Linked DNA regions of Coturnix japonica. The protein of the gene in region 1 binds, or shares a complex with, the protein of each later gene. Links are inferred from orthologs where the notes say so. Each region holds a gene or a part of one and is shown on either strand. Other genes may lie near its edges.

What was found. Proteins that work in one complex are often made in the same cells at the same time.
Region 2: RUVBL1 (region 1) and ASDURF share a complex: the UniProt entries of both Homo sapiens proteins name them as parts of the PAQosome complex. The link is inferred for Coturnix japonica from reciprocal best matches to the Homo sapiens genes RUVBL1 and ASDURF.

Annotation. Positions count from the first base shown.
Region 1 is NC_029527.1:7,146,617-7,150,917, forward strand, and holds the start of RUVBL1 (ruvB-like 1), read left to right. Parts: upstream 1-1,360; 5' UTR 1,361-1,611; intron 1,612-2,455; 5' UTR 2,456-2,494; coding exon 2,495-2,542; intron 2,543-3,193; coding exon 3,194-3,326; intron 3,327-4,301. UniProt on the Homo sapiens protein: Possesses single-stranded DNA-stimulated ATPase and ATP-dependent DNA helicase (3' to 5') activity; hexamerization is thought to be critical for ATP hydrolysis and adjacent subunits in the ring-like structure contribute to the ATPase activity.
Region 2 is NC_029522.1:4,422,919-4,427,224, reverse strand, and holds the start of ASDURF (ASNSD1 upstream open reading frame protein), read left to right. Parts: upstream 1-1,489; 5' UTR 1,490-1,556; coding exon 1,557-1,619; intron 1,620-3,496; coding exon 3,497-3,550; intron 3,551-4,084; coding exon 4,085-4,160; intron 4,161-4,306.

The sequences.
Region 1 (4,301 bases):
TTCAGAGTAGATACAAGGAGAAATTTCTTCTCACTCACTGCCCAGGGAGAGGTACAGACACTATCCCTGGAGGCTGTTCCTTGACAGGCTGAGGGAGTTGGGTTTGTTCAGCCTAGAGAAGAGAAGGTTGCGGGGTGACCTCATTGCAGCCTTTCAATACCTGAAGGGAACTTACTCCCAGGAGGGGAGTAAACTCTTCGAAAGGGCTGATAATAGCAGGACACGGGGAAACGGTTTTAAGTTAAAAGAGGGAAGATTTAGATTGGATGTTAGGGGGAAGTTCTTTACTAGGAGAGTGGTTCGGCCCTGGAACAGGCTGCCCAGGGAGGTTGTGGATGCCCCGTCCTTGGAGGTGTTCAAGACCAGGTTGGACGGGGCCCTGGGCAACCTGATCGCCTAGTAAACGCGTTGGTGATCAGATTTGGTGGCCGCTTCAGCTCAGGCGAGGGGGGTTGGAACTACAATGAATCCTTAGAGGTCCCTCCAACCCGGCCGTCATTCTGTCGATTCTGAATTGACGCATACCCAGAACGCCGTGCGCCAGATGTGGTAACTGCAGGGATGGTGGCAATCAGGCCATAGTGCCATGGGTCCGTGGTTGGATATTACGATGAAACACTCATGGCAATCTTTCCAACCTTAACTAATTCCATGAGTCATCTCCTCGCCCAGAATCTACCAACAGAGAAGAACGCACTGGATGGCAGCCAGGCTCTGAAACGCCCTCTGAGATTTCACAGCATTTCCACCCCAAGCACTGATGGACCACATAAGAGGTGCAGTAACACTACAGCAGAGCCCACAGCCATGGTGGTGGGAGATCTGTTACATGAGGGAGCTCTGAGGGTGTGGAGATGAGACACGACCCCCCGAACAACTGTTTTCCCCCCTCAGTTTATCAGTACTCTCGACGTGGGGAGGAGCTGTCCGTCGCTATATTATACTGTTATAAAAAAGGCGAAGTTAAAGGCTCAGATATTGCCGTGGGCACGTAAAACGTAAATAACTGCTGGTTAAAAATTAACCAGCAGTGGTTAAATTAACACACTGGTAAAGGCAGGACGACAGCAAAGCCCACCCAAAGGCTCGGCCCCTGCTCGGTCCCGGCCCATCTCCCCACACCCACCCTCCCCCGCACCTCGCCGCCGCACGCCGGACCGCTTTGAGTCGAGAGCGCAGCCGACGGAATGCGGCGACAGACGGCCCACACACTCTCAAATATGTATCGCCAGGCCCGCCGCTGCAGCTCGTCCGGTGAACAGGTCACGCCTAACCGCAGACACCATCACAACAGCCGCGCGAGGCGCGGCAGACGCAGGGCCAATTGACGAGACGCGCGGGAGCGGGGGAGCCCGAGGAGGCCGCGCGCCGGCGTAGGCCTTGGTAACGCGCGGGCCGCGTGATGCGCGGGTGGACGTGAGGGAGAAGGGAGACCCGTGGCGCCGATGAAGATCGAGGAGGTGAACCGAGCAACCTGCGACAGACGCATCCGCGGCAATCCGCAGCACAACAGCCTGTTAACTGGGCCCTCCGGGGGCTGCGACGAGACGGCGGCACTCCGCCAAACCGGCGGGCCGCCGCGCCTGGTGCGGACAGGAGAACGCGCGGGAGGTGAGAGATGGGCCCCTGCACCTGGCGCACTGCTCGCGGGCTGGCACGGCCGCCGATCATAGAGCGCCAGGCCCGGGCTGTGAGATTCGCCCGTTACTACTCGCTGGATTGTCGGATAAACGATCTACAGGGTTTTAAGGCTCCACTTCAAAGATTGGTGCCCGTGAGGTGGTGCAGGGCCCAGCCAAGTCCGCCTGCTCCGCTCGCGACAGGCCGGGTGGGGGTTTGTCACAGAATGACCCGGGTTGGAAGGGACTGGACTCAAGGATCATGTTTCAACCCCCTGCCGTGGAAGGGCCACGCAAAATCATATATCACCTTTACTAGATCAGGTTGCCCCGCAACAGGTCCGCCGTCAGCAACGCTGGGTCACTTGACAAGCACCTCCAAGGTATGGGGCAGTCCACAACCTCCCTGGGCAGCCTGGTTTCGCAGGGCCCTAACCTGAACTCTCCTAGTGAAGAACTTCCCCCTAACATCCAACCTAAATCTTCCCTCTTTTAACTTCAAACCATTTCCCCGTGTCCTGCTATTATCAGCCCTTTCCAAGAGTTTACTCCCCTCTTGCTCTGTTTTTAGGCTTTGATACCTGCGTGCAGCTCTGCAAGGGGAAAAAGATCCCCAGCTCTTTGGTTTGAGTTCTGTTTGATTTATTTCTTTAATGTGCCAGATACAGGGACTGCAGGAAGTGATTTCTTTCTTACCTCACTCCTATGTATAACATTGAACTGCAGTTTAATTTTGGCACCTCAGAAGATCAGTAGTTCTAAACACTTCTAGTATCACTGGAATTAAATGTATTTTAACAGTACTCTTGTTAATGGTGCCAACCCTTATCCTGCAGGCTTGTGGGGTTATAGTAGAGCTCATCAAAAGCAAGAAGATGGCTGGCAGAGCTGTCCTGTTGGCAGGACCTCCTGGAACTGGCAAGGTATCCTGATATTTTTATTTTCCTTTTCTTGCAAGAAATAAAACCTTCTGAAATCCGCTGTAATTTAACGTGCTGCCACAAGCATTTTAGAATAGCGGTTATATATTGTCTTCATCTGCTGTTGTGTTTTTTTTCCTCCATTAAGGTATTGACACAGTCTCCTGTTTTGTGTTTAATTTTTGCCACGTCATTAGCACTGGCAGCATCCTCTGGTTTGTGCAGCCATCATTAGTGCGAAAGCACCTAATATAGGTTGCCAAACACAGAGGCAGGACAGTTTCTGATTAGTCTTATAAGTTAATTCGATATTAAAAGCCTAAATAGTTATTCTTTTTAGTTGTTTTTCCCTTTCCATCTCATTTCTATAAGATGTTAAATTCAGAAGTCCACTATCATTCCTTTACAGTGTTTATAAGTCATTGGTAGAAGTCACCTTATGCGTGTCTAATTTGTTTTGGTGGGAGATGTTTGTTATATGTGAGAGATGTCAGAGCAGTTATAATATAGTATATATATGTATATATATATATAATACTATAGTATAGTAGTAGTAGTTGATAGAGTGAAGGTGATACGATGAGGAAAGTTAACTTAGTGCAGAAAGAATCCTCATAAAAATGAAATGCTTAATTTCTTTTTCCATTTTTAAAGACTGCCTTGGCTTTAGCTATTGCTCAGGAACTTGGCAGTAAAGTTCCCTTTTGTCCTATGGTTGGAAGTGAGGTCTATTCTACTGAAATCAAGAAAACAGAAGTTCTGATGGAAAACTTCAGACGAGCAATTGGTAAGTTTCAGAAAAACAGAAACGTTTTTATGTGATACTTACATTGTTTTTTCTAGTGATCTGAAAAGGAAAAATCTTGGTGGTCACGGTGGTTTCCAGAACATGATGTGAACTTTTCTTCAATGCTGATCTTAAACTGGGGAATCTCTCCCACACTTAGTAGAGTCAGTAAGGTTTTCTGGATATAAATGCTTGTGTCCCACAGATATTTTTACTTACTCTCCTCCCCCAGGATCTCTTCTTGTCCTCCAGGTTCCACCTCCTGATGCCACCTGTGACACTCCAGAAATCTGAAAGAAAATCTGTTTTTAGTTTCTTACATTAGCAGAAATGCTTATAGACAGCAAAATGCTTTCCCTTGTACTTTAGTGATTCCACCTTGCTGAGCAAGCAGCCTTCTCGAGGGGTTCCCAAGTGGCAGCATTAGCCTGGCTCAGTGTTCCAGTGAGCACAGAGGAAGTTCCATGCCAGCAAAATAAATAATATCTTCAATATCTTCCTCAATTCTAGAGTGCTTTTACAAAGTCAACGTAAATTGGGTAAATTTGCAACGCGACCTCACTAAGTAGTTAAAATCTCTTTTATGATCTCTGCTGACAGCTGATAAATGCGGTTAAAATGGCCCTTGTTTGTGTAAGGATTGCCTAAAGATGACCTAACTGAAAAACTGAACTTATTAACAGTTAATTTCCCTGATTTCTCTGCCGTGTTTCCTCTCTGACTTCATCTGAGTATCTGGGGGTGGTGAAGAGGTCTCTCAGTTCTGCAACCAAGTAAAAGTATTCCATTCATTTTCATAAGAAAAACCTTCAGTAGTCTCTGGTCTAGTTACCATGAATCTGGCAGGGCCTGGGGGATGGAAGCCAAAGACTGAGCAGTCTGCAATATTTCCTTGATGTGATGAAGTACCCTGTCAGAGATCTGGAAACTTGAACCAACAGATGAAACTTCTGCCATCCATGTTGTCATTTCTGG
Region 2 (4,306 bases), on another chromosome or scaffold:
GGACACAGCACCTCTGTCAATTCCATGGACTACAGCAACCCCAGCACTACTAATTTAGGAGCTTCTTTCCTGTCAGCAAAGTGTGAACTGAGGTCAGAATCAGGTCTTCACTATCACTGATTATACAGTTTTACTTTATACATGTTCAGAACAATGAACTTACCTAACTGGTTTTTGGTTATAAAGAATACAATCAGGAAAAATAAAAATAAAAATAAAAGATTTTTATGAACACAAGACACTTCTGTATTCTTAAGTCCTGCCACACCATCCATATGGCATTTCCTATGTCAGATATCTCTTACACTTCCATCTGCTACAACCTTTCATAGCATCTCAAGCTCTTACTGTACACTTACCAATTTCACTTGCACATGAAGAAATAGCAAGTTGGACCTTGCCGTGTATCAGCCCGTCCAGACGCTCTCCATGCCTTTCCACACAGTGGATTTACAGCAGTCTCCTTCCTTCACTGAGGGCTACACAGGCTGGACGTGCAGCATTTCTGTTCTACTCATAATGTCAGCACTGTCTCACACGATGTGTCGTACTCTTTTAGTCCTACTGTTTAAGTGTATTTTGGAACAGCCAGGTTGAGCCGTCTCATCTCATTGATTCTGTTTCCACACCAAGAAGACACACTGCTACTTGCATCCTAAGCTAAAGCACTACTACTACTTGGAAGATGGCACAGAAGGATGAAGCATTCACTTATCATCTTTGGTTAATGTAGCAAGACAGATAATGAAGGTTCCAACAGAATCATAGAATGACCCGGGTTGGAAGGGACCTCAAGGATCATGTAGTTCCAACCCCCCTGCCTGGCAGGGCCACCAAACATACACCTTTACTAGATCAGGTTGCCCAGGGCCCCGTCCAACCTGGCCTTGAACACCTCCAAGGACGGGGCATCCACAACCTCCCTGGGCAACCTGTTCCAGGGCCTAACCACTCTCCTAGTGAAGAACTTCCCCCTAACATCCAACCTAAATCTTCCCTCTTTTAACTTAAAACCATTTCCCCGTGTCCTGCTATTATCAGCCCTTTCGAAGAGTTTACTCCCCTCCTGGCAGTAAGTTCCCTTCAGGTACTGAAAGGCTGCAATGAGGTCACCCCGCAACCTTCTCTTCTCCAGGCTGAACAAACCCAACTCCCTCAGCCTGTCCTCATAGGGGAGGTGCTCCAGCCCCCTGATCATCTTCCTGTCCCTCCTCTGGACCCTTTCCAAAATCTCCATGTCTTTTTTGTACTGAGGGCTCCACACCTGGACACAGCACAACAGATGAGTAGAGCTCAAGCAGGGGACTAACGGGAAATGTCTCCATGAATCAAAATACTATCAAAGATCCGACAACAAGGCAGCCGGTACTGAAGGAAAATGGTCTCATTGCTCCACAGCCACTACGGCCATAACTCCACCTCAGCCATACGCGCCTAACAGCCGCTCTGCTGTACGCATGCGCAGTCGCTGCAGTTGTTTGGAGCCCACAGCGTGAGGCGCAGCCGTTGTGCGTATATTGCTGTGCGACGGCAGCGGCCGGCACTGCGAGCTGGGGATGTCGCGGCGGGAGGAGGAGGAGAGCGCCGAGCTGGGCCGTAAGGAGGAGCTGAGCCGGAGGGTGAGTTATGGAGGGTCTGAGGTGCTGCCCTGCGTCTCATAGTTGTGTGTGGGAAGGAGGAGGGTGTGCTGGAGGCTGAGCTGCGCTGTGGCCCAGGTGAAGGTGTGGGGGAGCTCGAGTGTTGTGAGCCCTTCTGGCGAGTTCCCTTCCCGTTTTTAGTGTTGTGAGATGGGCTGTGTGTGATTAGTCGAAGGAGAATGTGGTTCTCTGGGTTTGTTGAGCAAGTCGTGAGGGAGTTTAGTGAGGAGGCCAGCTTTAAAGCTGGGCTTTTCGTAGTGGCAGTCTTGTCTTTGTTCAGTGTGAGTTCTGTACAGTCCTGGTCAGTTGTCCTCGCATAAAAAGTGACTTTATTCTTCTACACTAATATCGCAATAGATTAGTGTTGTTCTCTAGTTGATTGGTTACATAAGAGACTAAAGAGAGCAACTGCATCAGCACAACACAGCGTATTAGCTGCGTGGCTGAAATGCCTGGTTCTGCTTTGCATCACAAGACTGCACTGTGTTCTTGTCTGTTTCAATAACTATCATAGTATGCTGTTGTAGCTGTTGGTGAAACAGCATTTTCTCAGTTCAGTTTGCCTTATACAGCCCTGTAGTTATTTCCATCTGCGCCAATTCCAGGAGGCAGAAAGGAGGACCGGAGTAAGGTGTGTTCTGTGCTTACAGAAAGTAGTGTGTGTTGAACCACTTTAGCTTTGTGTTTCAGCTTTTTTGATGGGCCCTGATTGCTCTTTGTCTTTAATGGCTCTTTGTCTTTAGTGGCTGACGTTGTCCAGGGAAGCAGGAGCATTGGACTGTTTGTGTCAGTGCAGCTGAACTGATGGCGGTAGATGCAGCATGACAACTTTGTGCTAAAAGTCCAGTGTACTGGAAGTGTTTCTAATTATCTTAATACAGTTTTGGGGTTGTTTTATACATATTTATTTATTTGGGGGGGGGGGGGGGGGTTATTGGTTATGTAGGTTTTTAATTGTTTCATTTACTGTTTTCATTTTGAATCTGGAGAATAAGATTATAAAGTGTATTGTGTAGGTAAATCTTTTCTCTAAGTTGCGTAATCACAGAATTATCAAGGTTGGAAAAGACCTAGAAGATCATCTAGTCCAACCGTTACCAATACTTCCCAGCTAAATCATATTCATCAACACAACATCCAGACGTTTCTTGAACACTCCCATGGTCGGTGACTCCACCACCTCCCTGGGCAGTGCATTCCAATGCCTGACTACCCTTTCTGAGAAGTAATACTTCCTAATGTTCAGCCTGAATCTCCCCTGGCACAGCTTAAAACCATTCCCTCTAGTTCTGTCATCTCTTACATGAGAGAAGAGGCCAACCCCCAGCTCACTACAACCTCCCTTCAGGAAGTTATAGAGAGCTATAAGGTCTCCCCTGAGCCTCCTCTTCTCCAGGCTGACAAATGTTAATAGTTGTTTATACGTTTGTTTTTTTGGGGGAGGTTGAGGGTGAAGTGATTTTGGATTCTGAGCAGCGAGGAGTACTCTGGCTTCCCAGTAATGACTGCTTTGGGGGGATGGGAACAGTGTCAACCATGCAAGATAATTCCCTTCCAAAGCAGTTATTTAGAGTGCTTCATTGTCTTATTGTTGAATTCATAACTTAGATTTCAATAAGAAGTGTGTTAAATGTAATTCAGTTATGTGGTCCGAAGACTTGTTGTATGCTTGGAATAATGGGTAATGAAATTTCTTTTTCATTCCTGTGTCCACTTTCATTTTAGTGGTCTGTTCAGGGCACAGTGACTTATATTTTTATAGCTGTCTTAAAAACATGGGTAAAGATTTTAATCTCCAGGACTGCAACACAGTAGTTTATTGTTGACAATTATATTGAGATGTGTTTTTTCTCTTTCAGATTAAGGAACAGAAGGTTGTAGTTGATGAGCTTTCGAATTTGAAGAAGAACAGGGTAAGCATTAAAGTTTTTTCTGCTTACTTCATTTTAGCATCAGATAAATTTGTATAGAGGCAAGAGGGCAAACAAAATTGCAGTGAGTACATTATCTTTAGTTGTTACACTAAAGATTTTAATGTGTATATGATCTTCTGTATGGTGTCAAAATGTTGTCTACATCGCTTGAGGGTTTACTTACACTTGTGCATTGTAACAGGAAGCTGTCTCAAGGTTTTACTTTAGCACAATTTTTATATTATGATGTTTGAGTGGATCAGTTTATGTTAAAAGCTTCTTTATTTTTCATGTGCATATGATGTAAAACAAAATATGACCCTTTAAGTATGAGGAAAGGAGGAAAATGCAGAATGGTTGTGGGTTGTTCCTGAAATGTTTTGGTGCGACATGAGGACATTGCTCATGGCAGAGAAGGTATCTTTCAGACATAAAAGGGAAGGGTATCTCAGTGGACTTCAGTGAGTTTCTGCTGCAGTGTGGTTGCCTGTGTATGCTACTTTTACTTAATGTGGTGTTGTATTTATTTTACAGAAAGTTTATAGGCAGCAACCCAATAGCAACATATTCTTCCTTGTAGACCGAACAGAAACACTGTCTCAATGCAAAAGTAAGTTTGCTGCACCAAAGGTAATAGTTCAACTGTTTAAAAGCTGTCTCTGTAGCTGTTGAAGATTTCCAAGTTGTAGTACAGTGGGAAAGCTGGCAACTGCATGTTAAATACCAAGTGGACTTCAGTTGTGCCTGCTTTTCTGG